Ovis aries: one gene and its partners. The protein of the gene in region 2 interacts with the protein of the main gene of each other region in a biochemical or structural test. Links are inferred from orthologs where the notes say so. Each region holds a gene or a part of one and is shown on either strand. Other genes may lie near its edges.

Region 1 (5,931 bases), on a different chromosome or scaffold from region 2:
TTCTGCCACACACAGCAGTGCCCGTCCATCTGGTCCACCCTCAACCTTGAGAGTGGATGCTACTGGGTTCCCTGAGACGTGCTCATCTCATCATGCCCCAGAGAGGCAGGTAGGAAGGTGGTATATTTCACTGCCCACTGTCAGGCCTGGCACTGAATGGAGGTTCTATGTGCCCACAGCCTGTTCCTCCCCATCACTGCACCCACCACACAGCTTTCTTGTCACCACCCTTCCCCAATGCTGAGAACTCCCTGAGGGTGGGGTGTTGACTTCATTTTGGGATTCCCAGTGCCATGAACATGTGATGATGCAAAAGATAAACCAGCTCCTTCCACTGCACAAAGCGATGAGGTTCTGACCACAGGCTGAGCGCCCCCTGGTGTGTTGAGCCCAAAAGTGGGCACTGGGGATGCTACAAGATTCTGCAGCAACAGAGAAGGTGAACGAGCAGGTGCCGAGTAATGACGGAAACTGTGCTCACGGGGACGCAGTGCTCCTCCTCTTCAGCACTCAGTGTGTCTCCTGGGCTGGGAGGAATGTGGGTTCTGTGGTCAAGCAAGACCTGACTTCATTGCCCATTAGCGATCTGACCTAGGGCCTCAACTTTCTCATCTGTAAAATGGGGAGAGTAACAGTTTCTACCTCTGGGGATGTTATGAGAACCAAATGCAAAGCTCCTGGTATGGCACTTTCTCTCCCTTAACGTAGCATTCAAGGCTCTCCCTGCCCCATCCACGTCCAGCTTCATCTCCCTTCCCACCCCAGGATCTGCTCCAGAAGCAGGAAGGAATCACAGACTTGGGATCAAGAGTAGTTTGTCCACCTGGGTAAGTGCTTGTCTTCTCTTAACCAGCCCCTCTAGCTCTGAGGTGAGAAGCTGTACTCACCACCAGTTCCCTCAAAGCTGCAGGCACCTTTGCAACCCCTAGAACTACAGCCCCAAGATCTGAACATCTGGACCTTCACTGGAGACCTACAGTCCCTTCATTACTAGGCAACCAGGAGCAGCTACTTGGTGGGAAGAGATTCTCCCACAGGAGGCTGAGACATGGGGCTGAGACAAGTCAAGGGGCTCAGTCCACATGACTCGGCCTGGCCTTTGGTGACCCAAGGTTGCCATAGTAACAAAAAGAGGAGGGGTGGGAGCCTACTTCTGTTGGCCTGCCCTACCCCAGGAAACTCGGCTCCCTTATCTTAGGAGGCTGAGTCAAGACAAACATCAGGACCAGCCCTCAGTCTATCTCAAAGGTCAGGCTTATGGTCTGGTACCTAAGCAGACCCAGGCCAGAAGGGCGCGGCCACTAACAGGCAATGGAGCTGAGCAACACGGCCAGGCACTCAGGCTGCCAGGACTAAAGCTACTGTGTGCCAGGCAGCTGCTCTTCTATCTGTTCTTCACGTCACTCCTGAGAGGTAGGAGGCAGGTACCATTATTCCCATTTTACTGCTGAGGAAACCAGACTCAGAAGGGAGAAGCTTCAGGTCAAATGGCGATGGTGGAGGCAGGACCAGAACTCAGGTAGGCTCTACCGCCAGAACTCAGGCCCTGTCCTGCCTGGTGGCTTCCACAGCCCCTCCCCAGCCAGCAGCTCTGCGACCTCACAACGCCTTGAGAACTGGGTGAGGCCATTCCCAGCACGGCGATGAGAAAGCCCAGGCCAGACTGTCCCCCAGCCTCATAGTGCTGTCAACACACAAAACCAGCAACAGGCCCTGGGGGCTGAAGGGATAGACCCAAGGGGAGCAGAGAGCGTAGAGCTGAGGGAGCCGGCCTGGGAGGGGGCCTGAGAAACGGCCTGTGTGCCCCACGCCAGGCACTGGGCCCTGGTGTGACTGGAGGCCACCAGGCTCCCTCCAGCACCAGGTGCCATGCCCTCGTCAGGCCCAGTGGACTTAAGCCTCTCCCATCACCCCTTCACCCTCTTAATACAGTCAGCCAAGCCACCACGAGTAAATAAGCAGAGGAAGCGTCCTGGTCTGGGGGACGGGTAAACCTGAGTTCTAGCCTGGCTTCTGACCCTGTCTGGGCCATAGTCCACTCCCCTGAGGAACCGGAAGGCTGAAGCAAGTAATCCTGACATACGGGGCTGCCTCGAGCATTAGGTGGGCCCAGAGAAGGACTTGGGCTTCCCTGGTGGCTCAGATGGTAAAGAATCCACCTTCAACACGCAGTTCAATCCCTGGGTTGGGGAGATCCCTTGGAGAAGGGAACGGCTACCCACTCTAGTATTCTGGCCTGGAGAATCCCATGGACTGTATAGTCCACGGGGTTGCAAAGAGTGGGATATGACTGAGTGACTTTCACTTTCAGAGAAGGAAGGCTGAGCTGGGCCAGGGGGCCTCACACCTGGGCGGGACAAGGTCAGTGCCTCCTTCCTTGTCCACTCCAGGCAAACAGTCACTCCACCCCTGACGATCCCTAGCTCCGGTGCTAGGGCCTGGCCCTTACCTTGGATGGCTGAAGCCCAGCTTCCTCCCCTGAGGCTTGTCCATTCTGGAAAAGAGAGGAGAGAGTGGGGAACACTGTCAGAACTTACCAGAGTGGCACAAAGCAAAGACAGACCCTATGGGGCGCCCCAGCCCTTGGATGCTCCCAGTGGCTAGAGGGGCCCTGGAGGTGGGGGCGGGAGTTCTGGGAGGGGACAGGCCTCAAGCCTTCTGCAATCGCCCCAACTCAGGTAGCCCGCTTTGGGCACCCCTCCCATGTTCTCTGCCTAGAAAACATCTCATCTTTGAAGGTCCGGCTCAAATGCCATCTCCTCCCAGTGAGAAGGAAAGGACTGTGGGTGTGTGCCAACTAACCAACTCAAGAGGCCTCAGTTTCCCAATCCGTAACATGGGTATTTACATCCACCTCCTAGAGTTGATGCAAGGGCTGAAGGACATAAAGTCTGGGAGAGTGTCCAGCCCAGAAATGCTCTGGCCCTGCCTGCTCTGGGACCCCTCTCCATCCTTGCAGAATCACTGCTACTCCCTATGAACCTTCATTTTACCACTTATCACAATGCAGGGACTACGGACTCGTGGGCCGTGCGTGCTAAGTCACTTCAACTGTGTCCAACTCTTCGCAACCCCATGAACTGTAGCCTGCCAGGCTACTCCAGACAAGAGTATTGGAGTGGGTTGCCATTCCCTTCTCCAGGAATCTTCCCACCCAGGGACTGAACTCATGTCTCTTAGGTCTCCTGCATTGGCAGGCAGGTTCTTTACCTGGGAGCCCCTCCTAATAAACGGGAAGTCCTGGGAGGCAGAGATGAGGCTTTTGGTGCTAACAGCTGCTCTCTTCCGCGCCCCTGCTGCACGCCGGCACTGGCTTTGGTACCTCACATCTGTGGCACCATTAAACCCTCCTGACCTGGGAGGTAGGCCCGGGTCCCATTTGGCAGAGAAAGAAACTGAGGCGCAGAGAAGCCTAGTGACGGCACCTAAGCCACAATGCTGCTCAGCGGGGATTCAAAATCCGGTCTCTGACACCAGGAGGTGCTCAAGAGACTGAGGAAGAGGAGCCCAGCGCCCAGCCAGGGCAACAGAGATGCAGGCATGGCAGCTCACCCCTGCACAGTCCTCCAGACCCCAGACTTCACCCTCCGCTGGGTGCTGTCCACCCTGGGTATACCACCCCTTTCCTGTGTGATATGAAGTGAGTAACCTACCCCATCCGGGCCTTGGGAAGCTAAACGGAGCGGTCTCCAGCCCTCATGTGCAGCAAGAGTGTGGAGAGACCAGGAAGACCCAGGACTTTGGACCAGGGGCCAAGTCCACAGGGCAGCTGCAGTCTTGTTGGCAGCAGCAGGCACAGCTGTGCTTTCCCCATTATATAATCTCCCTGCTCCTGGAGCAGCACTCCCTCCCCGCCAGTCCCTGGACATCCTGCCCCTTGAACCCCCTTAATGCCCCTAATCCTCCCCAGGGGCCAGCGTTCTGAGGCTCCACCATACGTGTTCTCTCTCAGGAGCTTGGGGAGCAGGACTGGGTGGAACCAGGCCTGAGGGGAGGAGGAGGCGTGAGGCCTTCGTAGACGGAGTTCCACTTCACCCAGCATTGCAGACTCTTGACATAACTCTGGATGGTAACAAGGGCCTACACACCAGCCTCCCCCATTCTAAGCCCTCACCCTTCCTAAAACTCAACTGCAACCATTACATTTGAGTGACTCCCCTGGTCACTCACTTACTCCTTACTGAGAACTTTCTAGGTGCCAGGCCTCAAACTCTTCCACGGCTTCCCACTGCCTGTGGGATAAAGTCCCAGCTCCTTGGTATGGCATTCAAAGCCGTCATCTCCAGCTCCCACAGGTGATTAATGTGGGTTCTGGAATCTGACCTTGTGGGTTCAAATTCTGGTTTCTATCACCTGCATAACCCTGAGGTTACTGCATTTCTCAAAGCTTCAGTTTCCTCATCTGTGAAATGGGGATAAAAGTAATGTACCTCACTGGGTAGCTTTAAGAAGCAAGCAAAATAGTGTCTATAAAATAGATACATCCAGGGACGTCCCTGGTGGTCCAGTGGGCCAAGACTCTACACTCCCAAAGCAGGGGGGCCCAGGTTGGATCCCTGGTCAGATCCCACATGCCACAACTAAAGATCCCAAGTGCTACAACTAAGACCTGGGACAGCTAAATAAATATAAAAAAAAAAAAAAAAGTACAGCTTGCATATAACTGGTCCACAAACAATCACCATTATTACTATCCCGATTTTGGAGCTAAACTGAACAAGCTGAGACCCTGAACAGGCCAGCTTGTCCCCAAGCATTCGCACGGTGGCTCCTTCTACCAAGAAAGTCTTTCCTGCCCAGTCACTCCAGCACACTCCTGGTCTTCTTTGAGGACCTGGTTAAATGTCTTCTCCTCTGTCCATACAGCCTTAAGTCCTTTCCTCCCTCCTCTGGGCCTCACAGCACCGAGCAAACCTCAGATTAACTCAGGGAGGAGCCACGGCTTGTCCGGTATTGTCTCCTTGGCACCCAGCTCAGGGTCTGGCACATAGCCTGTCAAATGAAACCTCAAACCAGCAAAGCAAGCAAGGAGGCCAGAGTAGGTTCTATTCCTCCCATTTTTCAGATGAGGCTCAGAAGAGCTGAGTGACTTAACTGTGGCCTCTCTGTTAGCAGGTGACAGACATGGGGCTATGACCCAGAGTCACGTGAATCCCCAGTGAGAGACAGGAGGAGGTGGTGGGTGAACCCAGAGGTGGGCGCTTACAGGGCAGTATCTTGGAGGACTCAGGGAGCCTGTCTGGCTGCCTCCAGTCCCGGGGTCTGGCTTGGGTGCCATCCTCATGGAACGCCCAGGCCTGTAAGAGCTGATGCACAAGGTCTCTAGGGGGAAATGGGCGGCCCTAGCGAGAGCACTAGGAGTGCAGAGAGGACCACAGGTGACCTTCCCCTTGAAAGCCAGGGTCCTGGGAAGACAGGGCGCATCTGCCCTTCCGGACTGACTATTGTACAGAGGGTGGAAAGAGCACAGGTCTGCAGCCACAGAGACAGAGCCCCTGCTGCCGGCTCTGCCAGCCACTCGCTCTGAATGTGTCTGTCACATTACTTCTCGAGCCTCGGTCTCCTCACCTGTACTAGGCGGGCAGGTCTGTCTTGTTCACAGTGGCACCCTGCTGGTTGGAGAAGTACTTGCCGCATGGTAAGTGCTCAATAAACACTTGCTGAATGAATGAATGAGGACAATGATACTGACCTTGCAGAATACTGAATGGAAGACCTCGTCTATGAGTCTACAGGAAAGGCCTTCTGGCCCCTAAGAGGGTGGAGACTCTCTCCTCCCGCTTCCTCAGAGAGCAATACTCATGGGCACAGCGACCGAGGGCCCCCAGGCCATTGCGCCCCCTCCCCAGAGGTCAGAGATGGGTTCCAATAAGCATCCTTCCTTCCCACCCAAGCCACTCTGTCTTGGGAAAAAAAGCGTCCGGGGCAGTG
Region 2 (6,073 bases):
CACAGGAGGAGTGTACAATGCAGTGACTGAGACCATGTCTTGAGTCAAAACACTTGAGTCGGAATATTAGCTTCACTACTGACTAAATCTGCAGCCTTGCAAAAATTAATCTATGTATGCCTCAGTTTCCCTATCTATAAAAGGGGATAATAATAGTATACATTTTATTAAGATGCCAGGAGAAATAAATTAATATATATAAAGCCTATAGAACACGTGATAAATGTTAAAAATAAATGACAAAAGGAGAACTTTATAAGTGTATTAGCCATACATGTTCGTTAGTAAATTGACCATTTATAAGCTAATATGCATGGGTAATACTAACATTTATAATGTTTGTGTTTAAAAATTCATCCCGTATTCTGTTTTCATTATCAATTTCCATTTAGGATTGGGTCTAATAATGCTAAAACCCAACTTTGTTGGGTGAAACTGGTACAAAATGCCTTGCTCACATCTGGACATTGTGAGCACTGTCCTGGCACTGTCCCTGGCTCACTGAATAATCATCAATCAAACCCAATTTATCCAGGACTCATTTTCTCAAGTGAAAAAAAAAAAAAAAAAGACATGGTTAAATCATCTCTTTAAAGATTTCTTCTGTTCTGACTGCTTTTGATCCCCCATATCCCCAAACAATGAGTTACACTAGAGAAGCAAAAAGGAGGAAATTATCATTTTGAGTGCCTACTCATTTATGTCAGGCAAACACTTTGCATACATTGCCTGGCTTCATCTTTATCACAGTTCTGTCACATTAATACTGTCAATCCTATTTAACAAATAAGGAAACTAAGGCACGGAAAGGTCAACAATTTACTCAAGATCACACTCTTGCTAAGTAGCAGAGCCTGAATTCAAACCTGGTCTTTCTGTTTGGGTCGACTAAGCATTTTTAACTGTTCCGCTTGCCTCCCACACTGTCTTCTCAGACAGCTAGAATCCTACCCGCTCAATGCTTTTCATGCTTTGCTTTAAAGAGACGAGTGGGTGTGCAACTTTTTTTTTTTTAAGTATCATTTGAAAGTAAAGCAAATGGAACTCATTTATCAGTTACAGGAATTTTAAAAATCACTCCTAACATCTCACACAAAATTAGCCTTTGAGTAAAAATCAGCGGCCCTCCTGCATCCTGGCGCCCCGGACGTCACCTCACCTCCCGGCTGCAAACTTGCTGAAGGTAAAGAAGCCTGGTGGCGGACCAGCGAGCTGAGTTTCAGCCCCGGTTCTGTCGCTCTGGTCGCCCTCCGAACCTTCTCCTTTAGTGTAGCAGGAGGTGGTCTCCTCAGGGCAGCTTAGGGTTTCCCCTCTTCCCAGCCCGGCTGTGAGGGCGCGCGCGACGAGGGCGTGCCCCGCGGTCTCGCCGCAGATCCCGCGTGAAACTGCCCAGTTCTCTGAGGAGGCTGCTCACCGCGGCTGCCCCCACCCCACTGCTTCCCGCTTCTTCCAACTTGGAAAAGTGAAGCCCCTGCCCCGCGGTGCCTGGAATGCCTTTCACCAGACAACCCTCCGCTAAGTTCCCTTCTGCACCCGAGGTACGGGCGCTGACAGGAAAACCAGCCTGCAGTTCTAACTTTACTCTCCTCTGAGAGGAATTCTGAGAACTTTGAGACGGGTCTGACTGAAACGTGGGAGACGAAGCCTGTCTAATTAGTGAACTCCGACGCCTCCACCTGGCCCGCAGCGCCCAGGCCTCCTCCTGGGCGAGGGCACGCCGGGCGGGTCCCACAGCTCTGCCCTTTCTCATGCCGGGATCGGACGCCCGGAGGCTCGCGGCGCCACCAGCCACAGCGTCCGGCACTGAGTCAGGGCATCCTCACAGCGCAGCAGCCTAGCGCTGCGTTCGGCCGCCGGGAGGCTGAAGAAAGGTCCGCGCTGGGCTCGCAGCCCTTCCTGCCGGCCTCCCCACGCCGGGCCTCGGCTCCCCTCCTTTCCCGCTCCCGCCTCCTCTCGTAGGCTGCCAGGCGGACCCAGCCTGCCTCTCTCTCAGCCTTCACTACCGGGTCAAGCTGCGGAGGGGGGTGGGGGGGTGAGCGGAGACAGCAGTAAGCGGCTCCCCACCCGGCGCGCGCGCGCCCCTCCTCCCCGCTCTAGTCCGCTCCCTCCTCAGCGGCGCTAAGCCTCCTCCCCTGCTGCCAGTACAGTACAAGTCGGCCGCGCGCGCGAGGGCGCGAGCGCGCGCGGACCCTGCCACTGCCACTGCAGCTACCATGGATATCAGCTAACAACACACACTCAGGCGCGCGCGCGCTCCCACTCGCACCACGCAGGAGTGGCCCCCGGCATCCCTACTCTCCTTCCCCACCCCCACTCCACCCGCTCACCAGCTCGGCTACTGCTCGCTCAGGCTGCCGCTGCCGCCGCCGCCGCCGCCACCACCACAGCTCTCCTCTGCTGCGGGGCCACAGCCTTGAGTGTCATTCAAGGGACAGCACAACCTCACCCAAGCTCTCCTACCTCTGCCCAGCCGTCCCTGTCATCCTCCCCCTTCCTCGACCACACTCCATCCAAAGAAGAGGGAAAGCACCGAACAGAGAGGGGAGGAAGGCAAAGTCTGCTCTCCTCACCTCTTGGCCCCCTGGCTCCTCCAGCCTCATTCTCTCAGCACCAACTCCCCTACCCCAAAGGAATCCCTCAGGAGCTGAGGCGACTCACCCCACTGCCATGTCCAAAAGCTTGAAAAAGAAAAGCCACTGGACGAGCAAAGTCCATGAGAGTGTCATTGGCAGGAACCCGGAGGGTCAGCTGGGTTTTGAACTGAAGGGGGGCGCCGAGAATGGACAGTTCCCCTACCTGGGAGAGGTGAAGCCGGGCAAGGTGGCCTATGAGAGCGGAAGCAAGTTGGTGTCTGAGGAACTGCTGTTGGAAGTGAACGAGACCCCCGTGGCGGGGCTCACCATCAGGGACGTGCTGGCCGTGATCAAACACTGCAAGGACCCCCTCCGGCTCAAGTGTGTCAAGCAAGGTAAGCGCAGCGGCTGGCTCGGTGCTTTACCAGGAGGCTGGACCGCTCCAGACGCCGGGGCATCATGGAAGGGTGGGCTCGCGTGTGGAAGGGGGTGTGTTGCGCGACAGTGGGGTGAGGTCGATCGAGAACCGGCAGAGCAAGTGAGCTTTGCCGGGGCTCAGAATGGGGGGCTCAGTGGGAGGGAGGGGCGGTTGCGGTGCAGCGTGCAACTTTGTTTGCGCAGTTACCACCTCCCGTTTGGTAGGTGTTCGGCCTTGTCTGACCTCGGCGGTGCCGGCGAGCTCCCAGGGCAATTGAATGTGCGTCAGCCGCATGGCCCGCAATGGATGAAGAGCTTTTAGGGAAGGAAAGAAGGCAGAAACGAAAAAGGAGGGCAGGAGAGAGAGGAAGGAACAACTCGAGGGTGCAGCGGCATCACCAGCAGGGCCGGTAGGAGTAGGGGGTGACGGGGCAAACGGAGACCGGCGCCCTCCGTTTCGGTAGCTGTACTGAAGACACCTTGGGGATCCCTGAGCCACTAATTGACAAAGAAGGGAAGGGGCAGGTTGCTTCGGGCGCGTTGACGGGTCTGCCTTAACTTTTTCCCTGCCTCGCTCCTCTGTCCCCCTCCCCCGCCCACGGTCGTGTCATGTGGGCACCGCGCGTCACGTGCGCACTGACTAACTCGGGAGCTCACCCCGAGCCGGCCCGCGGGAGGCGGCTCGCGAGGAAGGCGCGGCGCTAGCTGCGGGTTCTAGAGTTGGAGGTCGGAGGAGAGACGTGGTTACCGGAATGTTCTTTACTATGGGGTTGTCTTCATGAGTGGAAGTTCTCTATGGTCGGACTCCCCTCTGGCTTCGGATTTGGGCAGGGGCAGGGGCGGGAGGCGTGTTTCTAAGGAGGAACTGGATGAAAAAGCCTTCTGGTTTCGACTGAGGATCCGGTCAGCTCCAACCTGGTTTAGATGAGCCTCCGCTGAAGGCTGTGATGGGATCCTGCAGAGTTCTCGCAACTGTCTTTGCCTATAGGAAAATGCTGGTCCTGAAGTAGAGAAGAGAGATAAAAGTTTCTTGGAAAGAGGACAACTTTAGCTGGAATAAAATAGTGTATCTTCATTTTCCACATCATAAGTTTTGTAGCTCATATTCATAATTCTGTGTGACATGTATGTATATGCGTCACAAATCGAAAGATTTGTTGTTGGTGACACATTGTTCGGATTCAAAGATGGAATTGAGCATGTCATTGCCTGCATGACAATATCTCTTAGGGAGATATTCTTGTCTATAAACCAGTTTTAAAAGTAAGTCAGTGAAAAATGAAACCTCAGGCAAAATTTCTTAAATGTAAACTGCCATACAAAAAAGTTTTAATTGGGGATTCTTGAGTGTTAGTGACTGATGACTTGAGATAGGCTAATGTGAACATTGACTTCTTTGTCAGGCCACAGAGTTAAATACGGTATGAACCTGAAGAATGTGTTTGGTAGGAAGGCAAATAGAATATCTTACTGTTTTCCAAGATGACATACCAGAGGCTCGAATATAGGCATTAATGTTAGCGTATTTGATGTCATGATACTATTTTATAGTAATAGATATAAATGTGAAGTTCTGGTTTTGAATCCAGAAGTCTATGTCACAATTAATGACCATGGTTTTATTGACAACAAGGTTGGTATTTGTAGTGGAAAATGGCTGCCAACTTTAAGATATTGTTATTAATAAATTGGACTAATGATTGTAGCCTAATGAGGGAAGTGTTTATCCCACTGTAGTTTGTAATTATGACCACATTTTAATGTACTCATTCTGAGCACACTATTTTGAGATGAACCTTCACAGGCTGTTGCTCTAGCAGCTAGAAAAGAAAGAAAGGGAGATTTTGGGGGTATTGTCAATCTATTCTATAAAATCCAGTGGAAAGACTTTAACTTGGAAAAGTGAAGGCATGAAAGCTATCATTAAATACTATCCTATGATTATGTATAGGGCAAAAATAAGACAAATCTGTGGAAATTTTTAAAGGATGAAGCATTTTACTTTTATTAAGATGATTTTAACAGAGCTTTAAAAAAATCTGTTAACTATACTGTGAACTCATTAGCTCCCATAATTGTGAGTGTTTATAGAGGCCAGTGACCACATACCATGGATTCCTATGTAAGATGGGTACCTGGACTAGATCTCATGTAAATCCTTCCATGAATTGATCCAAGACAGTCTCAGATATTCGACTTCTATGTTAGGTTTTATTTAGAAGATTATAGTTTTTAGAACTCATGGAGTATAGACATATAATGTGATATATTTGGGGTTCTCTGGTAGTTCAATTGGTAAAGAACCCACCTGCAATGCAGGAGACCCCATTCATTTCCTGGGTGGGGAAGATCCACTGGAGAAGGGATAGGCTACCCACTCCAGTATCCTTGAGCTTCCCTGGTGGCTCAGCTGGTAAAGAATCCACCTGCAATGCAGGAGACCTGGGTTTGATCCCTGAGTGGGGATAATCTCCTGGAGAAGGAAAAGGCTACCCACTCCAGTATTCTGGCCTGGAGAATTCCATGGACTATACAGTCCATGGGGTAGCAAAGAGTCAGGCATGACTGAATGTGATATATTTAGGGAAAATTTCTTTTCATTCTTTTAGTTCTGGATTTCACTGGGTCATTGATGATTGATGCTTATAATGATATTCACAGAGCTCCCACAGGAACCTGATTCACCTTCTGAATCTCTATTGACCAAGAAACAAAAATAATTGCTTCTTTTAGCTTTTGTGGAAAATATAATCCGCTTTTATATTCTTCCATGTGTGGTGATTCATATGCTATTCCCACCGTCGAAATCTTTCTTTTCCCTTGTCAAATAATAGATCGGTTTACTTTATCATTGTGAGAAAAGTGAAAATTTCAGAACCTTAGATATAGTGTCTGTGTGTCTTGCGTTTCATTACCGATTTCACGTGCTGGAAAAATACATAGAAATTCTTGGCTCTGTAGTTTTATTTCTAGAGATCCAATAAACTAACATAATTGAAAAAACTTAAACATGGTTTGTTTAGCAGTTGTTATTTAAAATACTAATAGATAGCTGATTTTTAAATATTCAACACTGTGTATTA
Region 3 (5,888 bases), on a different chromosome or scaffold from region 2:
TGAACCTGGGCCCCCTGCATTGAGAATCTTAGCCACTGGACTACCAGGGAAGTCCCCGACATGGCTCACACTTTTGCCCTCATTTCCCTTCCTGCCCAGGCTCCCCTTAAAACCCAGCTCCACATTATTTGTCAAAGAAGCAATTGGGAAATGGCCCCGCAGCGCCTGGATACAGACATTGCAAAAGAGCATCCCCTCACAGGGAACACAGAGATGTTGAGGTTCTCCCTCTCGAGGCCCTGGAACAACATGGGACGGACTTGGACTGCGACAGTAAGTGAGAGGACTTTCCCAAGGGCCACAGCTGTGACCAAATGTGCGCTTGAAAAAAAAATGCTTGCAGGGATTATTTTCAAAATGGCAACAATAGCTGTGTTAAGAGGGAGAGGTTGTAATAATTTCCCCCTCTGGTTTTCAAACTTTGTGTAATACTGCTAGATTGCTTTTGTGACTACAGCCATGAAACCAGCTTTCTCCGTGGAACTCACTTTCCCAGATAGCCCACCAGGCCTTGCCTTCTCCACTTCTCACACTCAACCAAACCCGCTGTTCTGAGTCACACTCGAGTCTCCCTGCGAGGACCCGTGGCTGTTGGGTAGGAGATTCAGAGGTGCTCAGTCCCTGGCCCTCCCCTGGGGGTAGAGACCATATTTTACCTGTCCCCTTGGCATCCACACAGATTCATGCTCATCCTCTTTCCTTCACTGACATATACAAGGCCCCTCCCATGCACACACACATTCTCACTCACGCACACGTGCACACACTCTCCCCCAGTTCTCTGTAATCAGTTCAGTGTGATGCCCACAACAGGGGCCCCAGAGCGGATCCTTCCCACCTTTCCTGATACTGGCTGACTTGTTGAGGGTCAGAGCCACATATTGGATGAAACCCACCTAGATTCGGGTTTCCCTGGTGGCTCAGCGGTAAAGAATCTGCCTGCCAATGCAGGAGACGTGGGTTCGATCCCTGGGTCAGGAAGATCCCCTGGGGATGGAAGCGGCAACACACTCCAGTATTTCTTGCCTGGGAAATCCCATGGACAGAGGAGCTTGGCGGGGTACAGTCCACGGGGTTACAAGAGTCAGACACAACGTAGTGACTAAATCAGCACCCACCACCACTCACCTAGGTTCAGAAGTTCATACTGACAAAACTGCCTGAGTTATCTCCCATCTGGCAGAAGTCAAGGAGGTTTTAGCAGCTTCAAATATTTTCTGGTAAAAGCTAACAAAAGAAAGTCTTAGAGTTCAAGTGCCTGAGTTTGAATTCTGGCTCCACCATTCACTGGCTGCATGACCTTGAGCAAGTTACAGAGCCTCTCTGTGCTCAGGAATAATTTCACCTTCCCGGAGCTGTTAGGAGGACAGTATGACTTAATATTCGTAAAGCAGGTAGAATACTACCCAACAAGTTGTATATGCCATATAAATAAAAGAAGAAAGTAATTATTTAAATGAAACTGCATTAGCTGACCATTCATTCACTGCATCTTACTCATTCAGTGCCTTTACTGAGCACCTACTGAGCTCATTAGGCCAGACATAAAGGACACACATCCGACGACCTAGCAGGAAGCATACACACACACAAACACGCAACGACAACAATAAGAGAAATTTTTTTTCTTTTAGAAAAGCATAATTCTAAGCAGAAATCTGCACACGATTCAAACAAAGTCCAGAGAAAGAACATTTACCTATTACCATGTAAACTTAAAAACAAAAACCTACAGTTCAATCCTTCGAATCTGTTTGAAACGTTGAATTTTTTCTGTTTTGTAAATTTAGACCCAGGTTTGGTACACACTAGCCTTTGGGAAAATATTCCCATTCAGTGCCATCTATTCAAGCTCTCTGGATGTTTTTCCCCCAGCTTCCCTCCCTGGGTCTCCCTGATCACCCAAAATAAATTATGGGTTCACCCCTAATCCCAGTTAAGGCGTGGGGGAGGGGATATGGGTTTAATCAGACCAACCTTTACTCACTTTTAAAAAAACTAACATAACTATTCGGGAGAGGGACAAAGAGAATAGAGGAAACCTAGGTAATTAACAACGTCTCAATTGATGACCAGGCAGCAGTTGCATTTTTAAACCTTGGTGGTTTAACTCAAATCACTTTGTGTGCTACATACGTACAGCTGGTTTAATAACTGATGGAAAAATGGAAATCAGTCAATCCGCACCCCTCCCCCAAATCCATTCTTTTGAGTGTAATCGCTTTTTAAATGCGCTGAATCCCATCAAGCCGCTGTCTGCTCACGCTGTCCACTCTGACCCTGCGGAGTCGGGATCCTCAGGCGAGAGCCCGCCGAGGCCCACCCACCCCTCTCTCCGGCTGCTGCTTGCGCGCCTACCCCCGCAAGGCGAACCGCTTTGGGAATCGCCTGGCACCTGCAAGTGGCGGCTGTCACTAGCTGCAGGCCGGGGTGTCGACCCTCAAGACCTTCCCCGGGGCCCAGGGGGAGCCCTCGTCACCCCCGAACTTCAGTGGACAGACGTGAGATCTGTCCGGACGTGAGATCTGGAGACCTTCCTAAACTCCGGGCGCAGGAATCGCGTCGCCAGAACCCAGACAGGAGCGGGCAGGCACAGGAAACCGCGAGTGCAAAGGACCGGAGAGCGAGCGCTGCGATCCCGCCGGCGGGCCGGCGGCGGCGGCGACGGCGGCGGCGGAACGGTAACTACCGCCGGATGCTCGGTTGGCTCTCCGGAGATTGCGATATTGATCCAGGGCTCGCAGGCGCGGGGGACATTTATCTCCCCGGACTTTCAGGGGCAGGAAGGAGCTCCCAGGAACAGGGCGGGGGCGCGCTGGGGCAGATGGGGAACCCTCTGTCCCCTCCCGAGCTTCCTGTCCCGGGACCCCGGTCTACACGGGACGGGTGGGAAGAGGAACCCTGAGTCGGTTCCCAAAGCCTAGAGCGATTTCCCTCGCAGAGCTGGTTGCCGGGGTGGGCGGACCCCCCCGACTCCCACCCCCCAACACCAGCCAACATTCCCGAAGCTTCGCCACAATGATTTCTTTTTTCTTTTTTTTTTTCACCTGAGTTCTCCCCTTACCGCTCAACGCCGGCTCCAGAGGTCCAAGAAGAGGGAGCTGGCCTGCCCCTCACACCCCGGCCGCCCCCGGACCTGGGCACAGTTCTGCTCAGTGACACCCAATCACACCGTCCGCTTCACACCCACTGCCCACTGCGCCCGGAACTGGGGGCCCCCGGTGCTCGAGGGCGGACTGGCTCGCTCTTACCTTGACAAGCCGGAGCTGCGGGCGCCGTCCCATCCTCGGGCTCGCTCGGTCACCGCGCTGGAAGCCTGGGTCCCCGGGACATCCCGGCGGGGGCGGGCTCGGGCGGCTTCTGTGTCGCCGCCGGTGGCGGAGGTGCCCGGCTCCGCGCTCCCCGGCCCCGCAGCCCGGCCCGGAGGGCTCTCGCTCTCCTCTTCCCGGGCAAGTCCAGCCGCCGCTTCCGGACTCAGCCCGGCCCGCGGCCGCCTCTCGCCCGCCGGGAGCCAGCCTCGCCCCCGCCGTCTCCCCCTCGGTCCGCGCCGACACTCGCCGCGGCTCCCCGCCCCCTCGCCTGGGCGTCCCCTCCCCTCCTTTCCTCTGCCCTCCCCTCCGCTCCCGCCTCAGCGCCTCGCCCCTCCGCTCCCTCCCCCGGCCCGCCTCCTCCGCCCCGGCTCGTTCCGGGGGCGGCTCCCCGCGCCCTAACGGCGCTGACCCCCTTTCCTCGAGCCGGGTTTGCGGCAATCGGCGGGGCGCACTGGCAGCGCTGGCGGCCGCCGCAGCCCGGGGAGAAGCTGGGGAGGTGGGGGGGGGGGGGGGGAGAGGAGGCAGCTTCCCTCCTTCCGCCGGCTTTCAGGTTGGGGCCCGAGGAGTCCAGGAGAGTCTGAGGGGGTCCTGGGGGGGCCCAGGTCAATCTACAAGAGAGAAGCGATTGGAGGCTGGGGAATAGGGCAGCCCGGACTGAGCAGTGCCGCCGCGGAAGCCGGGTGAAGCTGGGCGCTGCGTTCGGGCAGTTCTCTCCCTGCCGCGGGGCGGGGAGAAAGTCCCCGCCGCCCCCACCTCAGCGGGGCGAGGGCCAGATCCCCGCGCCTTTGGCACTGACACGCCAGGAGCGCGCTGAGGTGTGACAGCTCTGAGGGAGGAACCCTTCTCATTCATTCATTCGTTTGTAAATTCATTCTACTAACTAAGCGCCTGCCCAGTTTGGTCCCGGCAAGGAGGTGAACCTAGGAACCCCAAGAGCAGGCGAGATGGCGGTGCCGGGCAGGACTAGCCGCCCTCTGACCGCGGAGGAGGGGGAAAGCCGAGCGCGCATTGCGCTGCAGGGGATAGCGGCTGGGAATCCAGTGGACTGGGCGAGGAGTAGGCCACAGCGCCCCCTCTCGGCCGAGCGCTCAGGGTAGGGTCAGCCGCCCCGCCAGACCTCCTGGCCCCCATCCACCTTGGCTCCCTAGCTCCCCATCCCGCCCCCAAGCATTGGGAAGCAGCTCCCGACTTCTCCAGCCCCTAAAGACTTTCCCCTCCAGCGGCTCTTCCAGATGGACAGAACTTTTGACTTCAATGTCTTCCTTCCTTCCACCAGAGCCGAAAGGCGAGTAAAAAAATGTAACTACCCCGCAGATCCTCCTCCTGCAGCGCCAGGAGCAACCCCTCACCAGGAACCCTGAGCACCCAGGGTGGACCACACTCCCAGAATGGTGGTCCGCTGACTTTGCAACCCAACTCAGAATCTAACCTCCCTGGAGATTCTGTGCACTGCCGCGCCCACCCGCCTCCTTCCTTCCACCCACTTCTCAGCACATTCATGGGTCCACTGCTTCTTCATTTAGACAGGGAGTTATTGTAAGATGCCTTGTGAGGAAGCTGAGGCGCATAGACCAGTGGTGGCCTGTCCACACTCACATAGCTGGTGAGCCTAGTTCTTAGCCTCCTGATTTCCAGGTCAAAGTGTCCCCAGGGCTGGGACCGGATGGGTTTGGGGCTCTGAAATGGGGAGGGGCAGTGCCCAGGAAACCAACTGGTCACACTAGCTTAGCTACACTGGGTGGCACTTTCTAAATAAAGCACATGGTCCTGAGTCTTGAAAACCCCTAGTTGGTTGTGTGTGTGTTTGGTTGCTCAATTGTGTCTGACTCTTTGTGACCCCATGGACTGTAGTCTGCCAGGTTCCTCTGTCTGTGGAATTCTCCAGGCAAGAATACTGGAGTGGGTTGCCATTTCCTTCTCCAGGGGATCTTCCTGACCCTGGGACTGAACCAGGGTCTCCTGCACTGGCAGGCAGATTTTTTACCATCTGAGCCCCTGGAGCTGGTCGTGCTGAGCTTGACACAGACTCACCCCAACCAACCCCAAAGAGATGGATGCACCAACTAGGTTGCCAATTTATTGTTTTCAACAAAAATGAAATGCAAGGTAGTCCAGTATTCTTTCCTGGAGAATCTCATGGACAGAGGAGCCTGGCGGGCTAACAGTCCTTAGGGTCAAAAAGAGTGGGATAAGACTGAAGTGACTTAGACCCATGCACACACTAGATTCTGGAGTCAGCCTGAGATTGAGTCTTTGCTCTTCTGCTTACAAGCTGTATGAACCTGGAAACTTATCTCATACTGCCTCAAGTATCTCATCTCTATATTGGAGCTAGGAATACCTACCTCATAGGTTAAATGGTGGTTTAAACAAGTTGATATTTGTAAATGGCTAGGAATGATGCCTGGCTTAGTGAAGGTTAGGCGTCATCACCGCCATCACCACCACCACGATCATCATCTTCGAGTGGACCAGATGCTCAAATGCACGGGCAGCGAGTTCCCTTCCCCTAGGCAGTTCTTTGTGGAAAGTCGAATTCTTGATGAGACAGTCACAGCAGCGATGGACTGTGGAATC
Region 4 (5,796 bases), on a different chromosome or scaffold from region 2:
TGTTCAGTACTACTTTTCAGACTAATATTAAGGATAAACCCCAACCAACAAATTATTTTTAGAATAATTCAATTTTGCAAAAAAAAAAAAAAACCACCATAGTCCTCAATTTTCCTTTAAGGAAGTCACTTCATTACTGACTTCTATAAAAATACTCCAATCACTACTTTCATTAAAGAACTGAACTTTGAGAAGGCTAACTGTTGAAATAGATACTACAACTTGTCAGAGAAAAAGCCTTCAATGGCCATTTTAATTTTTCCCCCACCACAAACACAAAACACTGAAGTGAAACCAAGCAAACCAGAGCCTTAGTGTATCAAAATTATTGGAAGTGCAACTATCAAAAAGGCAAACCCTTTACTGACTTTCCTAACATGATTTTTTTTCATATCAACATTTGGCTCAATAAAACCACAACTCTAGAAATTAAGTGTTATTAGTCATTTGATGCAATATATGATAATGCTTTCTATGCATACCATAACTAAAAGGACAGTTTTAGAGAAAGTTGTAAGTCACATAAATTTCACACACAGAGGCACGCACCCTGAAATCAAAGGAGAAATGGCTAATCGCCGCACTGCTCACATATAAAAACCTGGTAGAATAATGATAGTCTTATAACTCTGTTAATTTTAAATCAAAAATAGCAAAAACACCATTTTTATGCAAAAATAGCATAAACATACTCTGAATACTAAAAGCAATCTGCCAAACAAACAGCATTCTAGAAAATTTTTTGAATGGGGGTTTACTTTAAAAAGTTAAACGTTTAATTAATTTGGTCCTATACATCTAGATGACTGTCAAGTCACACCAATAGACTACTTCTGAAATAGGTTACAAATGAGAAGAACCAAGTTTAAGTATTTTTCATGATTATCTTCTGGGCAAACAGGTCAAGCTGTTTTAGTACTTTTTCAATTAATGCAACTCCAAAATGTCCAAATATTCTTTTAAAATACTATTTTTAAACTTAACAGAAAACTTAAGTTATGTGTGTGGTAAAGCTACTTCTTCAGTAACTTTTACCTTCACTTCATATCAGAAACTTGGGCAAAATCAGCTGCAAATACTATGTATGTATATATGTATGTGCAGATATATAATGCAAAGAAAGAAAACCTCCTCATGTATGTAACATTTTTCTTCAAAAATATCTTCCCCATAGATTTTAGCTAGAGATACAGGCACTTCAGTGTCACTCTACTATTAGGCAAAATGTTTGGTGATACTTGCTAAGGAACCATTTTTTTTTTAGTATACTCTATTAACACCTACACAACTGCTTAGTTTTAACTAAGTACTGTCCACTGCTACAATTCATATCACCAAATTTTTTTGTCTTTAATAGAAACCTTAATAAAATGCTTCAGTCACCTCAGACCAATAACTTAATCCTATTTTTCATGCCTTATACACTGGCCTACCAGTGACTCTCAATTCCTAACATATTTCCCATTCTGCCAAAAAGGAGGGCTCTACCTCCTATCCTTGATCAAAATTTGTTCATTATACCTGAAACTGCGAAGATTCATGCCTTTCAATAACCACTATCTTTTGAAATACAAAAGCCTAACTTTCAGACAGCCAACTGTACCCCAATGAAATTCTTGGGTTTCTGTCTTATTCAACAAGCTGACTCAGTAAATTTAATACACCATATGAAAAAAGCGAACACACCTACAATCCAAAGATGGAGTAAATCCACTCTTGCCAGCATTTCTGGTTATCAGCTGGTAAATTATATTTGATGTTCTACACAAGTCAGAGTAAAATTAACGGATACCCAAAGGTGTCACAGGACCTGAAACCTAAATAAAGCTGAGTATCAATTCAAGTATCACAATCAATACTTAAATTTTAAGTGAAACTGAAGTTTAATCTCTGCAATCACCATTTGCTACACACAATACCCTTGAACCTACATAACATTATCATCTGAGATCAAAAACCACTCAATCTCCATTCTATTACCTGTCAGAAGAGCACTGAATCTACAATGCTACTGAACTGTACATCTCATGTCCTATTCTCCATCATCTTAAAGAGACCATAAAAATAAAAAAGCAAATTTAACAAAATCTAGTCAGCGTCTTTGAGAAGTATCAAAGACTATTGATTTCAAACTGCTAAACTTCTAAACGCGGTTCAAAGTTGTAATTAACTTAGTTTTAACACATAAACCTACTTTTGCCTTCAAATGAGCACCATATATGCTAAAATGATTCTCTCTAAAGTTATGCAAATCAGTTCACAACTCACATTTTAAAAGAATCTATCAATGCAACCCAGGAAACTAAAAACAATCACTGCATGATTCTGATGCAATAAGCCGTACGTGCAACACTAATTTTCCTTTTAATCTGATCTATACCCTTGATCTAGGGCCTAAAGCCAAGATTTAATCGAAATATGCTCAAGCTCAAAGCACCTACTTTTCTGTTCATTTAGTAGACCGGATTACCGAGCTCACTAATCCACTAACAGTGTACTGGATTCTGCGGACAATAGCCCTTAGAAAGAGACCCATCGGTGCCTTGTCACTTGCAACCAGGCAAGAGTTCCGTCTAGCCGAACACACCCTAGGCGGAATGCATTCAAAAGAGACACAAAATACACATCTAGAAACCCGACCGGGGTTAAATGTCACCCGCACTATGGACATTTTTTCGCATCCGTCTATTCCCACGTTATCAGAGAGAGTGACAGAAAGGCAAAGAGGAGCAGCAGCCACAGAAATGGATACAGGTCAAGTCTAAGTCGAATCCATCCTCTTGATATCTCCTTTTGTTTCTGCTAACGATCTCTTTGATGATGGCTGTCATGTCTGGGAGCCTGTGGCTGAAGAAAAAGGAGGAGAGAGATGGCAGAAGCTGCTGGTGGCGGGGCTTCTTCTGCAGGATGGAAATGGCTCTGGACTTGGCGGTGGCTGATGCCCCTCGCTCTGCTGCCGCTTGGCTCTGGACCGCAGCCGGGTAATGGCTGCTGCGGCGGCTGCTGGATGGTTGCAGCGACTGGGCCTGCTTCTCCTCAGCAGCCAGGGGTCTGGCAGCGGCGGCAGCGGAATGGGGAGAAGAATAATCCTCGGAACGGCTGCCTCCTCCGGCGGCCTCCGGAGCCCGGGCCAGGGGGGGTGCGGCGGCGGCGGAGGGGAGGTTTAAAACCGGCCCGGGTCCCTGGATGTGCCGCCGCCGCCGCCGCCGTGTTGGAGGCAGTAGAAGGGGAGAGACCAACTCTCCGGCGTTCCCAGCCCTGGAAATGGTGACAGGCGACTCCGACCCCCTCCCCGGAGCTGCGGCCGCCGCCGCCGCCGCTTCTCCCCCCCGCTCCAGGAGCGGGAGGTGCCGCCGCCGCGCCTCAGCCGGCTCCCGCCCGAGCCCACGGCTTCCACCTTCCCTTTCAGGAGAAGCCGAGAAAGAGGCTGCACGGTTAGAAAAGACGAAGAGGGGGCGAGAAACGCCGCCGCTGCCGCCGCCGCCGGCCGGCCGGCTCCCCGAGGGCGCTGCCCCCGCGGCTGCTCACAGGCGCTGAGAGGGGCTCTGGGCTGCGGCCGCCGCCGTCTCTCATCTCCCTCGCCTGAGCCCGGCCTCGCCTCGCAGCGGCTCAACTCTCAAACTTCCATCATGGCTGCAGCTTCCGAGAGGAGAGATCTGAGCGCAGCCGCGTCCCGGCGCCCGAGCGCGTATCCTGCCGCAGTGCACAAAGAGTCCCGCCACATCACCGCCCGCCGGCCTGCCCGCCCCCTCCGCCGCCGCCGCGCCGGGAGTCCGGGCGCCTCGGGAGCCCGAGGGGAGGAGGGAGGCGTACCCGACCGCGCCAAGGGAGGGAAGGGCAGGGCCGAGACTGTAGGGAGGCGGCAGAAGGTGCAGCTCCGGGTCCCCAACCTGCAGGCGCACTGAGCATGCCCAGTATGACTGCCTAGTGCTAGATCGGGCTTGTTGCGAGGCGCCCGCCTGTAACTGCACTTGCCGCGGCTTCTTCTGCAGCAACGCAGGGTGGGGGGAACGAGCTGAGCCACGGCCGGTGCCCAGCCGGAGGCAGGGTAAACTATTGCGAAGGTGGGCAGGCGGGGGCGGGCAGCGGGGGGAGGGAAGGAGCGCGGTGAAGGTTGAAGCAGGTTTATTCATCTGTCTCACTGACTTGAGGGTGAGACTACCTGCGCACAGGTGGAAAAGACCAGGTGACCGCGCTGGTCAGTGTTCAGGGAAACGCAGGGACAGCCCGTGCAGCGAGGACACCCTTCCCCCCACGCCCAGACTTCCCCGGCACGGCCGGCAGCCTTCCTCTGCTTTTGTACCGATGTCGGATCATAAGCGTTCGCGGGGATTTGACTGCAGGAGCCTCCGCCGAGAAGTCCCACCTCTCCACCCATCCCCGCCCGTGTCCTCAAGGTGTCAGTCTTAGTACAAAGAACAACCCCCTATTGTGTCTCCAGTGTGTATCACCTCACCCGGCTCCCTCTCACCGCCCCACCTCCCGCTCCCCCGGCTACTCGATTCATTTGCCCTAAAAATGAAAGCTCCTAGCAGAGCGCGCTGAGTGTGAGCACATCGCCCCTGAATTTCTAGATCCCCAAAGGCAACTGTCCAGGTGGGCTGAAAGCGGATCCCCAAAGAGGGAATGCGCCCTGCATTCCCCCTGGAGAGCCGAGAATCTCTCCCCTGGGGTTTCCAGCTGAGTTCACCACTCCAATTCAAGCTCGATCCTTAGAGGCTCCTCGACCCGCCCCTTTTGGACCGCTGTGAAAACCTCGCTGGGTGAATCGCCCCGGAGCCAGGTTCTGCGCTCCCCCTAGCTGGGGAGTGCGCGCCGCAGACCCCTGTTGCAGCGCGGGAGGGCGAAGTACGTGATTGTAGGAAGCTGCAGCCCCTGTGAGTGGGCGGAGCCGAGGAGGGTTCAAAAGGAGGTGGAGGGATACGCGGGCCACAGTCGGAACTACTTTCAGGAGGAGGTCACGTGTACTTCTAGTTGGGGAACTTTCCAAATTCCCACTCCCATATGATAGCTGTAGAGGCAAATGCTTCGCTTCCTTTGCCCAGAGTGCTCCCGCCTTGCACCGGCAGCGGGACCCCAAAGCCTCCTGGGTCTCGGTGGAAGAACAGGCTCAGACGAGCCTCCTACTGGAGCGCTGTCGGGGCTGGCGCCGGAGGAGCTGGTTACACAAGCACCCACATCCAAGCACGTGCCCCCGCCTTCCCTCACCTTGGCTGCTGCCGCTGATTCTTACAGATCTCGGAGCGAGGGTTCCCAAGCTGGTCGCACCCTTTGCCCGCTACCCACAGAGCAAGCTAGAGGACCGAAACCTGAGACTCCGAGCTCTGGAATCACTGGCTCTGCCTTCCCAACCGTGGGAGAAGGGACTAGATTTCAGGGGTCTGTCGCATCTTTCTCGCTAGCGCCCTGCCCCTTAGGGCGTAACTTTTCTGGTGCTGTACTCGCGGGGCAAAAGGGTATCTCCTGCAGCAGCCCGCTGCGTGAATTCAACGACGTTGCGACAAACTTTCAGTCAATACTTTCGGGCTGATGAGCGCGCCCCACCTACTGTAGACTCAGCCAAGTGACTTATCTGGTCGGAGAACCTAGTCCATGGCCTTCAGCCCAGAACAACCTTGTCAAGTCTGCTTACAGTTTGGATTGGTTGACCTAAACCGCGAAAGAGCTGGTTCAGAAACGCTGAGAACTAGAGTGCATTTACCCCAACATTGATCGGCCTGTAAAATGAGTTGTCCACCGTCTGCTTGGAGAGAAAGAGGGCATCAATACCAACCTAGGAATTCTTTCTTTCCCCTG
Region 5 (5,912 bases), on a different chromosome or scaffold from region 2:
CTCACTAATTTTAAACCCATTCAGTTGCCAACCCAACAGCCTTTGATATAACTTTACATGCTATTGGATTTTAATCTTTTTGAGTATTTATATATGTTTTCTTCTCTCATCCCTCCAAAATTAATCCTAGAGTTTTGAGAATCTGGGAACTTGGGCAAAGGAGAAGGCAACGCAGCAGACCAAGAAATTTGAAATCTCAGTTCACTACTGTGTCACCCAAAGCCAATGTACCTTTTTTGTTTGCACTGACCCAGCTCAAGTCATACAATCACGTGAGTAACAGAACACAAAATCCAGGTGTTATTACTGAACATGAAAAGTCTGAAAAGTAATTAAACGTGTTCTAGCTTCCGTGGCGGTGTCATTTACTCTAACATGCCTGTCCTTAAGCCTCTCTCTCTCTTTACATTACCGGCACACACCGTTGCACCATACTCACACATCCATCAGCTGGGACCTGGGAGTGTGTATTTTTCCAACTGGTCCTCAGCATTAGCTGTCAGCTGCACAAACCTTCCTTTGCTTTCTGCATCTGCTGCCCTGGAACGACAGAAGCTTCTTGCAAGAATAGCTCCCGGGGAGCGTTCCTGACAGATGCGCGCTCTGCTTTAGCAAGGCGCTCGCTGGAAAGTTTCTTCTAACCGCTCACACCCGCCTCCGATCCGATCCCCGAGCTGGCAGGACGCGAGCTGGCTGGGACTCCTCTTGACAGAGGAAGGGCTTTACACACACCCTCCTAGGCTGCCCAATACAAGAAACAGTCTTGCAGCCAGACTCCTCCACCCCCAGCGAACAGACCGTCCAAGGCGCTCCGGTGTTTCGAGAACACCGAAGTCCCCTTCCTGCTAAAGGGCGCGTGAGCTCTGCTCTGCAGGAAACCTGGGCACTGGAGGTAGATGGGATGGGTGGCGGCGGGTAGAGCCGGGGCGCAGCGGAAAGCAAACGCCGGAGGCAAACAGGGCGCAGGAGAGGGGAGATTGGGGGCCGCGGGAGGGGGCAGGGTGGAAGCCGGGCGCGACTGGGAACCGAGGGGAACTGGGCACTGGAGCCAAGCGGGCTCTGGAAGGGACGCGCGGGCAGGAACCCGCGAGCGCTGGGGAGGGGCTTGCTTGGCGATCTGCCCCGGACTCCCTAGAGCCGCAGAACCGCCGGTGGAGGCGGGGTGCTAGGAGTTGGCGGGGCCGGGTGGGGGTGGGGGGGAACCAGAGAGGGGCGTGCCTTCGCCAGGATTGGCTGCAGGAGCCTGACGCGAGGCCCCGGGGGTTGGCTCGGGGGAGTGGGAGCCGGGTGGGGTGGGTGCTGGGTGCCGGGGCTGCGGGCTCCGCGAGCTCAGAAACATGCTGAGGTCCCGGCAGCTGTTCCAGCAGCGACAGCGGCTCCAGCAGCAGCGGCGGCGGCGGCGGCGGCGACAGCGCACGGCTCCGGCGGGGAAGGCGCCCGGCGCCCATGCCTCCGGCCCCGCGCCGCGGCTGCGCTGACCTGGCCGCGACCTCCCTCCGCGCGCCCCGCCGTTCGGGCCTCTGGGGGGGTTCCCCAACCGCGGCCCAACTCCGCCACACCCCTCTCCCCCGGCCTCCGCAGCTCGGCATGGGCGCGGGGGCGCTCGCCCTGGGCGCCTCCGAGCCCTGCAACCTGTCATCGGCCGCGCCGGTCCCCGACGGCGCGGCCACGGCGGCGCGGCTGCTAGTTCCCGCGTCGCCGCCCGCCTCGCTGCTGACCTCGGCCAGCGAGGGACCCCCGCTGCTGTCGCAGCAGTGGACGGTCGGCATGGGCCTGCTGATGGCATTCATTGTGCTGCTCATCGTGGCGGGCAACGTGCTGGTGATCGTGGCCATCGCCAAGACTCCGCGGCTGCAGACGCTCACCAACCTCTTCATCATGTCGCTGGCCAGCGCAGACCTGGTCATGGGTCTGCTGGTAGTGCCGTTTGGAGCCACAATCGTGGTGTGGGGCCGCTGGGAGTATGGCTCCTTCTTCTGCGAGCTCTGGACCTCGGTGGACGTGCTGTGCGTGACGGCCAGCATCGAGACCCTGTGTGTCATCGCCCTGGACCGCTACCTCGCCATCACGTCGCCCTTCCGCTACCAGAGCCTGCTGACCCGCGCGCGGGCGCGGGCCCTCGTGTGCACCGTGTGGGCCATCTCGGCGCTGGTGTCCTTCCTGCCCATCTTCATGCAGTGGTGGCGGGACAAGGACGCCAAGGCGAGCCGGTGCTACAACGACCCCGAGTGCTGCGACTTCATCATCAACGAGGGCTACGCGATCACCTCTTCCGTCGTCTCCTTCTACGTGCCCCTGTGCATCATGGCCTTCGTGTACCTGCGGGTGTTCCGCGAGGCCCAGAAGCAGGTGAAGAAGATCGACAGCTGCGAGCGCCGCTTCCTCAGCGGCCCCGCGCGGCTGCCCTCGCCCGCGCCCTCGCCCGGGCCGCCGCTCCCTGCCGCCGCGGTGGCCAACGGGCGCGCCAACAAGCGGCGGCCCTCGCGCCTCGTGGCCCTGCGCGAGCAGAAGGCCCTCAAGACGCTGGGCATCATCATGGGCGTGTTCACGCTCTGCTGGCTGCCCTTCTTCCTGGCCAACGTGGTGAAGGCCTTCCACCGCGACCTGGTGCCCGACCGCCTCTTCGTCTTCTTCAACTGGCTGGGCTACGCCAACTCGGCCTTCAACCCCATCATCTACTGCCGCAGCCCCGACTTCCGCAAGGCCTTCCAGCGCCTGCTCTGCTGCGCGCGCCGGGCCGCCTGCGGGAGCCACGGGGCCGCCGGGGACCCGCCGCGCGCCGCGGGCTGCCTGGCGGTGGCCCGGCCGTCGCCGTCTCCCGGGGCCGCCTCGGACGACGACGACGACGACGACGAAGACGACGTCGGGGCCGCGCCGCCCGTGCGCCTGCTGCAGCCCTGGGCTGGCTACAACGGCGGGGCGGCGGCGAACAGCGACTCGAGCCCGGACGAGCCAAGCCGCCCGGGCTGCGCCTCGGAATCCAAGGTGTAGGGCCGGGCGCCCCTCCCCGCCTTCCCCGGCTTCCCCAGTCCGGGCGCGGGCTGTGCGCTCCAGGAGCAAGAGAACCCGGGCGCCCCTGAACCGCTTCCCCGGGAAAGAGGTCTGTGTTTACTCGAGACCGAAAGCAGGTGAACTCGAAGCCTGCGAACCTCGTCTGCATCATCCAAGGGCAAATAGGAAAGCCACGGACCGTCGCACAGAAAGGAAAGTTTGGGGAGAGGTGGGAGAAGTTTGGGGAGGGGTGGAAGAGTGGCTTACTGATTGTTCTTGGGGTTCTTTTTCCTGTTTCTGGTCCAGCCTTCTGTGTGTGCGTGTGATGCATCTTTAGAGTCCCTCCTCCCCCCGCCCCCCCGCCACGTGGCTTTTAACACTTTCTGCGATGACTGGGAAGGGAAGGGGGAAGCGTTAGGAGGTAAAAGTCTCTCGACTTAGTTTCCATCCCATTCCTGGGAACAGAAGCGGTCAGCCAGAGAGAGAGGAGAGAGAATGACACTTTATCAGGACGTTGTTTCCTTTTGCTTTTCAGAGAAATTCCATTTTAATTTCTGAGGAATTATTTCTCCTGTTCTGAAAGCCGAGGGCAAGGATGGATGCAAAAATCGCGTTTCAGGAAGTTTTATGCTCTTCTTGGAACAAGCCTCACCTTGCTTCCCTTTCGGAGGGCAAGCGGGCTGTCCCTGAACGCCTCCTCGGTGGTCAGGCTGAGGGGTTCCTACCTCACTCACACGGTGCACATTGCACGGCCAGATAGAGAGACTTGTTTATATTAAACAGCTTATTTATGTATCAATACTAGTTGGAAGGACCAGGCGCTGAGCCTTCGTGACATGTGACTCTGTCCATTGAAGACAGGACAGAAAAAGGAAAAAGAAAAAAGGAAAACAATTCAGATTACTGCACATGTGGTATAGACAAAAAATCAAAACAAAAAAGCCGTGATTCAAAGTGGCATTTTTTTTGCACAGTATTAGGAACTGTAAAGTCCACAGAAAATGTTATTTGCACAAAAAGAAATGAAATATTTTTTAATGGGAGTGGGGTGGGGCAGATCTTAAAAACTAAAATAAAATTCAGATTCTATCTCTGTTGTCTGTTATGTTATTGAGCTAGCAATTTATTGGAAAATACCTTTTTATACTCTTTTATCATGGTACTGTATCCATATTATAAAAAATTATCTTAAGGATTTTTTTTATTATTTTTTTATGTCCAAGGGCACACGTGAATCTGCTGGTGAAATTTAGCACTTGTGTGTAAATACTATTTCCTCTGTGTGCTTTACCAAGTATTTATACTCTGGTGCAACTAACTACTATGTGAGGAATTTGTCCATGTGCAATAAATACCAATGAAGCACAAAAAAAGATTATGTACTGTGTGTCTGTAAGGGGGGTCAGTGATAATGGAAAAGACAGTTTGTTTTGTTCGCAATATAGACTGGATTTCCCATAGAGCTCTTTTAATAGCTTTTCATGACTCAAGAGCATAGCAAAATGCCTCTAAACCAAATAAGGCGTGCACCTACTGAGAGAGAGCTGCAGACTTGCCCTACATTTTCATAGCCGGTTCCAGAATATTCTAGACTACTTGGAGGTGTTTTCAAGATCCCATCTGCCACACTTGACTTAAGAAGTAACATTTGAGCTTGTGCATCTTCTTTAAAAAAAAAAAAAAATGGAGTCAGGTAGCTCAGCTGCAATGTTGTACAGACAACGCAGGAAAGGAGACTGGCCTGTGGAACCATCACTGTCTACTTAGAATTTGGTAAGTGGCATTCACAGTTGGTTTTCCAACAGAAAATCGCAGCCTGCAGCGCACGCACGTGTATCCAGTGACTGTTTAGAATGCAAAATGCTTTACTGATTAAGTGAAAATTCATAAAAGAGCCTTTAAGTAAAGATTTTTCTCTTGTATGATTAAACAGACCATTTCAGCGGAAGTTCTGGTTGGGCAGGTAACAGGGAGAAGTAAATCTGAAGTTTTAAATTTTCCTAACAAGATTACGACACCCTCAATGGATAGTTTTCCTAAAATTAGTTCCTAAGGAAAGTATAGTGAAATTCTATCTTGGGATTAATTCTGCATTCTCCAAAATAACTTCAAGTATTTCTCTTTGTATTTTTAAACAAGCTTTTCATTTCATGATCGTATAGTAAGGAAACCAAAGTGAAGAGTACAAAATTCTGGCTTATACCGAGATGAAACATGAACAAACTCTTCTCTACCAAGGAAAGTCAAGACCAATTACCCTTTTTCTGCAATGAGATACTCTAAGGACCAGGAGAGAGGAGAGTCTTCTGAGAAAGGTTAATGTTGCCGATGTTTTAAGAGATCAGCGGAAAGTTGCATGAACAGTAGCCATTTCAACAAAAGCTGCTATGAAGTTTAACCCCTTTCTCCAGGAGAAAAAAAAGGGGGGGTGTGGAGCAGGAGATGGCAAGACTTACTAAAAAATAGAAAGATAAATACTTGAAGAATTGTATTTTGGAGAATGTAAAAATCAATTTCAGGATGACATCTCACTATCCTTTCCCCAAGGAACAAATACAGTCCATTTCTATCCTCCCTTCCCCCAGAGTATGTAAGTCACATTTTGTTAGGGATTTTGTTCCTCTTTATTTTAAATCACACAAGATTAATAGACAATGTCTGGTTTCATCTGAAGAAACACTCAAATACCAGGTAATGCTTCACTTTCCTGTTTTGTCTAGATAAGTCTTTACATTTAAATAAATTTTTCCAGCCCCAAACTTACATATAGATCTGTCAAACCTTAGGTCTCAAAATCACGAAAAGTCCTATAAACTTTAATAACAAATATAAATATATATATGGATATATATATATATATATATAAAAGTAACTGTTTAGTATACAGATCTAAACTCTTTAGTGAGTTAGAGGAAACCACT

What was found.
Region 1: the proteins of MAGI2 (region 2) and RPS6KA1 interact in a test that uses a peptide from one of them, tested with the Homo sapiens proteins (2 studies listed by BioGRID and IntAct, with this or other methods). The link is inferred for Ovis aries from reciprocal best matches to the Homo sapiens genes MAGI2 and RPS6KA1.
Region 3: the proteins of MAGI2 (region 2) and CRHR1 form a complex in vitro, tested with the Homo sapiens proteins (2 studies listed by BioGRID and IntAct, with this or other methods). The link is inferred for Ovis aries from reciprocal best matches to the Homo sapiens genes MAGI2 and CRHR1.
Region 4: the proteins of MAGI2 (region 2) and PTEN form a complex in vitro, tested with the Homo sapiens proteins (2 studies listed by BioGRID and IntAct, with this or other methods). The link is inferred for Ovis aries from reciprocal best matches to the Homo sapiens genes MAGI2 and PTEN.
Region 5: the proteins of MAGI2 (region 2) and ADRB1 interact in a test that uses a peptide from one of them, tested with the Homo sapiens proteins (4 studies listed by IntAct, with this or other methods). The link is inferred for Ovis aries from reciprocal best matches to the Homo sapiens genes MAGI2 and ADRB1.

Annotation. Positions count from the first base shown.
Region 1 is NC_056055.1:240,329,293-240,335,223, forward strand, and holds the start of RPS6KA1 (ribosomal protein S6 kinase alpha-1), read right to left. Parts: upstream 3,885-5,931; 5' UTR 3,870-3,884; coding exon 3,654-3,869; intron 2,495-3,653; coding exon 2,450-2,494; intron 1-2,449. UniProt on the Homo sapiens protein: Serine/threonine-protein kinase that acts downstream of ERK (MAPK1/ERK2 and MAPK3/ERK1) signaling and mediates mitogenic and stress-induced activation of the transcription factors CREB1, ETV1/ER81 and NR4A1/NUR77, regulates translation through RPS6 and EIF4B phosphorylation, and mediates cellular proliferation, survival, and differentiation by modulating mTOR signaling and repressing pro-apoptotic function of BAD and DAPK1.
Region 2 is NC_056057.1:43,277,110-43,283,182, forward strand, and holds the start of MAGI2 (membrane-associated guanylate kinase, WW and PDZ domain-containing protein 2), read left to right. Parts: upstream 1-2,195; 5' UTR 2,196-2,667; coding exon 2,668-2,968; intron 2,969-6,073. UniProt on the Homo sapiens protein: Seems to act as a scaffold molecule at synaptic junctions by assembling neurotransmitter receptors and cell adhesion proteins. Plays a role in nerve growth factor (NGF)-induced recruitment of RAPGEF2 to late endosomes and neurite outgrowth.
Region 3 is NC_056064.1:45,527,623-45,533,510, reverse strand, and holds the start of CRHR1 (corticotropin-releasing factor receptor 1), read right to left. Parts: upstream 3,556-5,888; 5' UTR 3,285-3,555; coding exon 3,252-3,284; intron 1-3,251.
Region 4 is NC_056075.1:9,239,897-9,245,692, reverse strand, and holds the start of PTEN (phosphatidylinositol 3,4,5-trisphosphate 3-phosphatase and dual-specificity protein phosphatase PTEN), read right to left. Parts: upstream 3,659-5,796; 5' UTR 2,832-3,658; coding exon 2,753-2,831; intron 1-2,752. Other genes in the region: KLLN (killin), read left to right, coding at 4,306-4,386, 4,863-5,402. UniProt on the Homo sapiens protein: Dual-specificity protein phosphatase, dephosphorylating tyrosine-, serine- and threonine-phosphorylated proteins.
Region 5 is NC_056075.1:34,061,340-34,067,251, forward strand, and holds ADRB1 (beta-1 adrenergic receptor), read left to right. Parts: upstream 1-1,331; 5' UTR 1,332-1,446; coding exon 1,447-2,991; 3' UTR 2,992-4,080; downstream 4,081-5,912. UniProt on the Homo sapiens protein: Beta-adrenergic receptors mediate the catecholamine-induced activation of adenylate cyclase through the action of G proteins. This receptor binds epinephrine and norepinephrine with approximately equal affinity.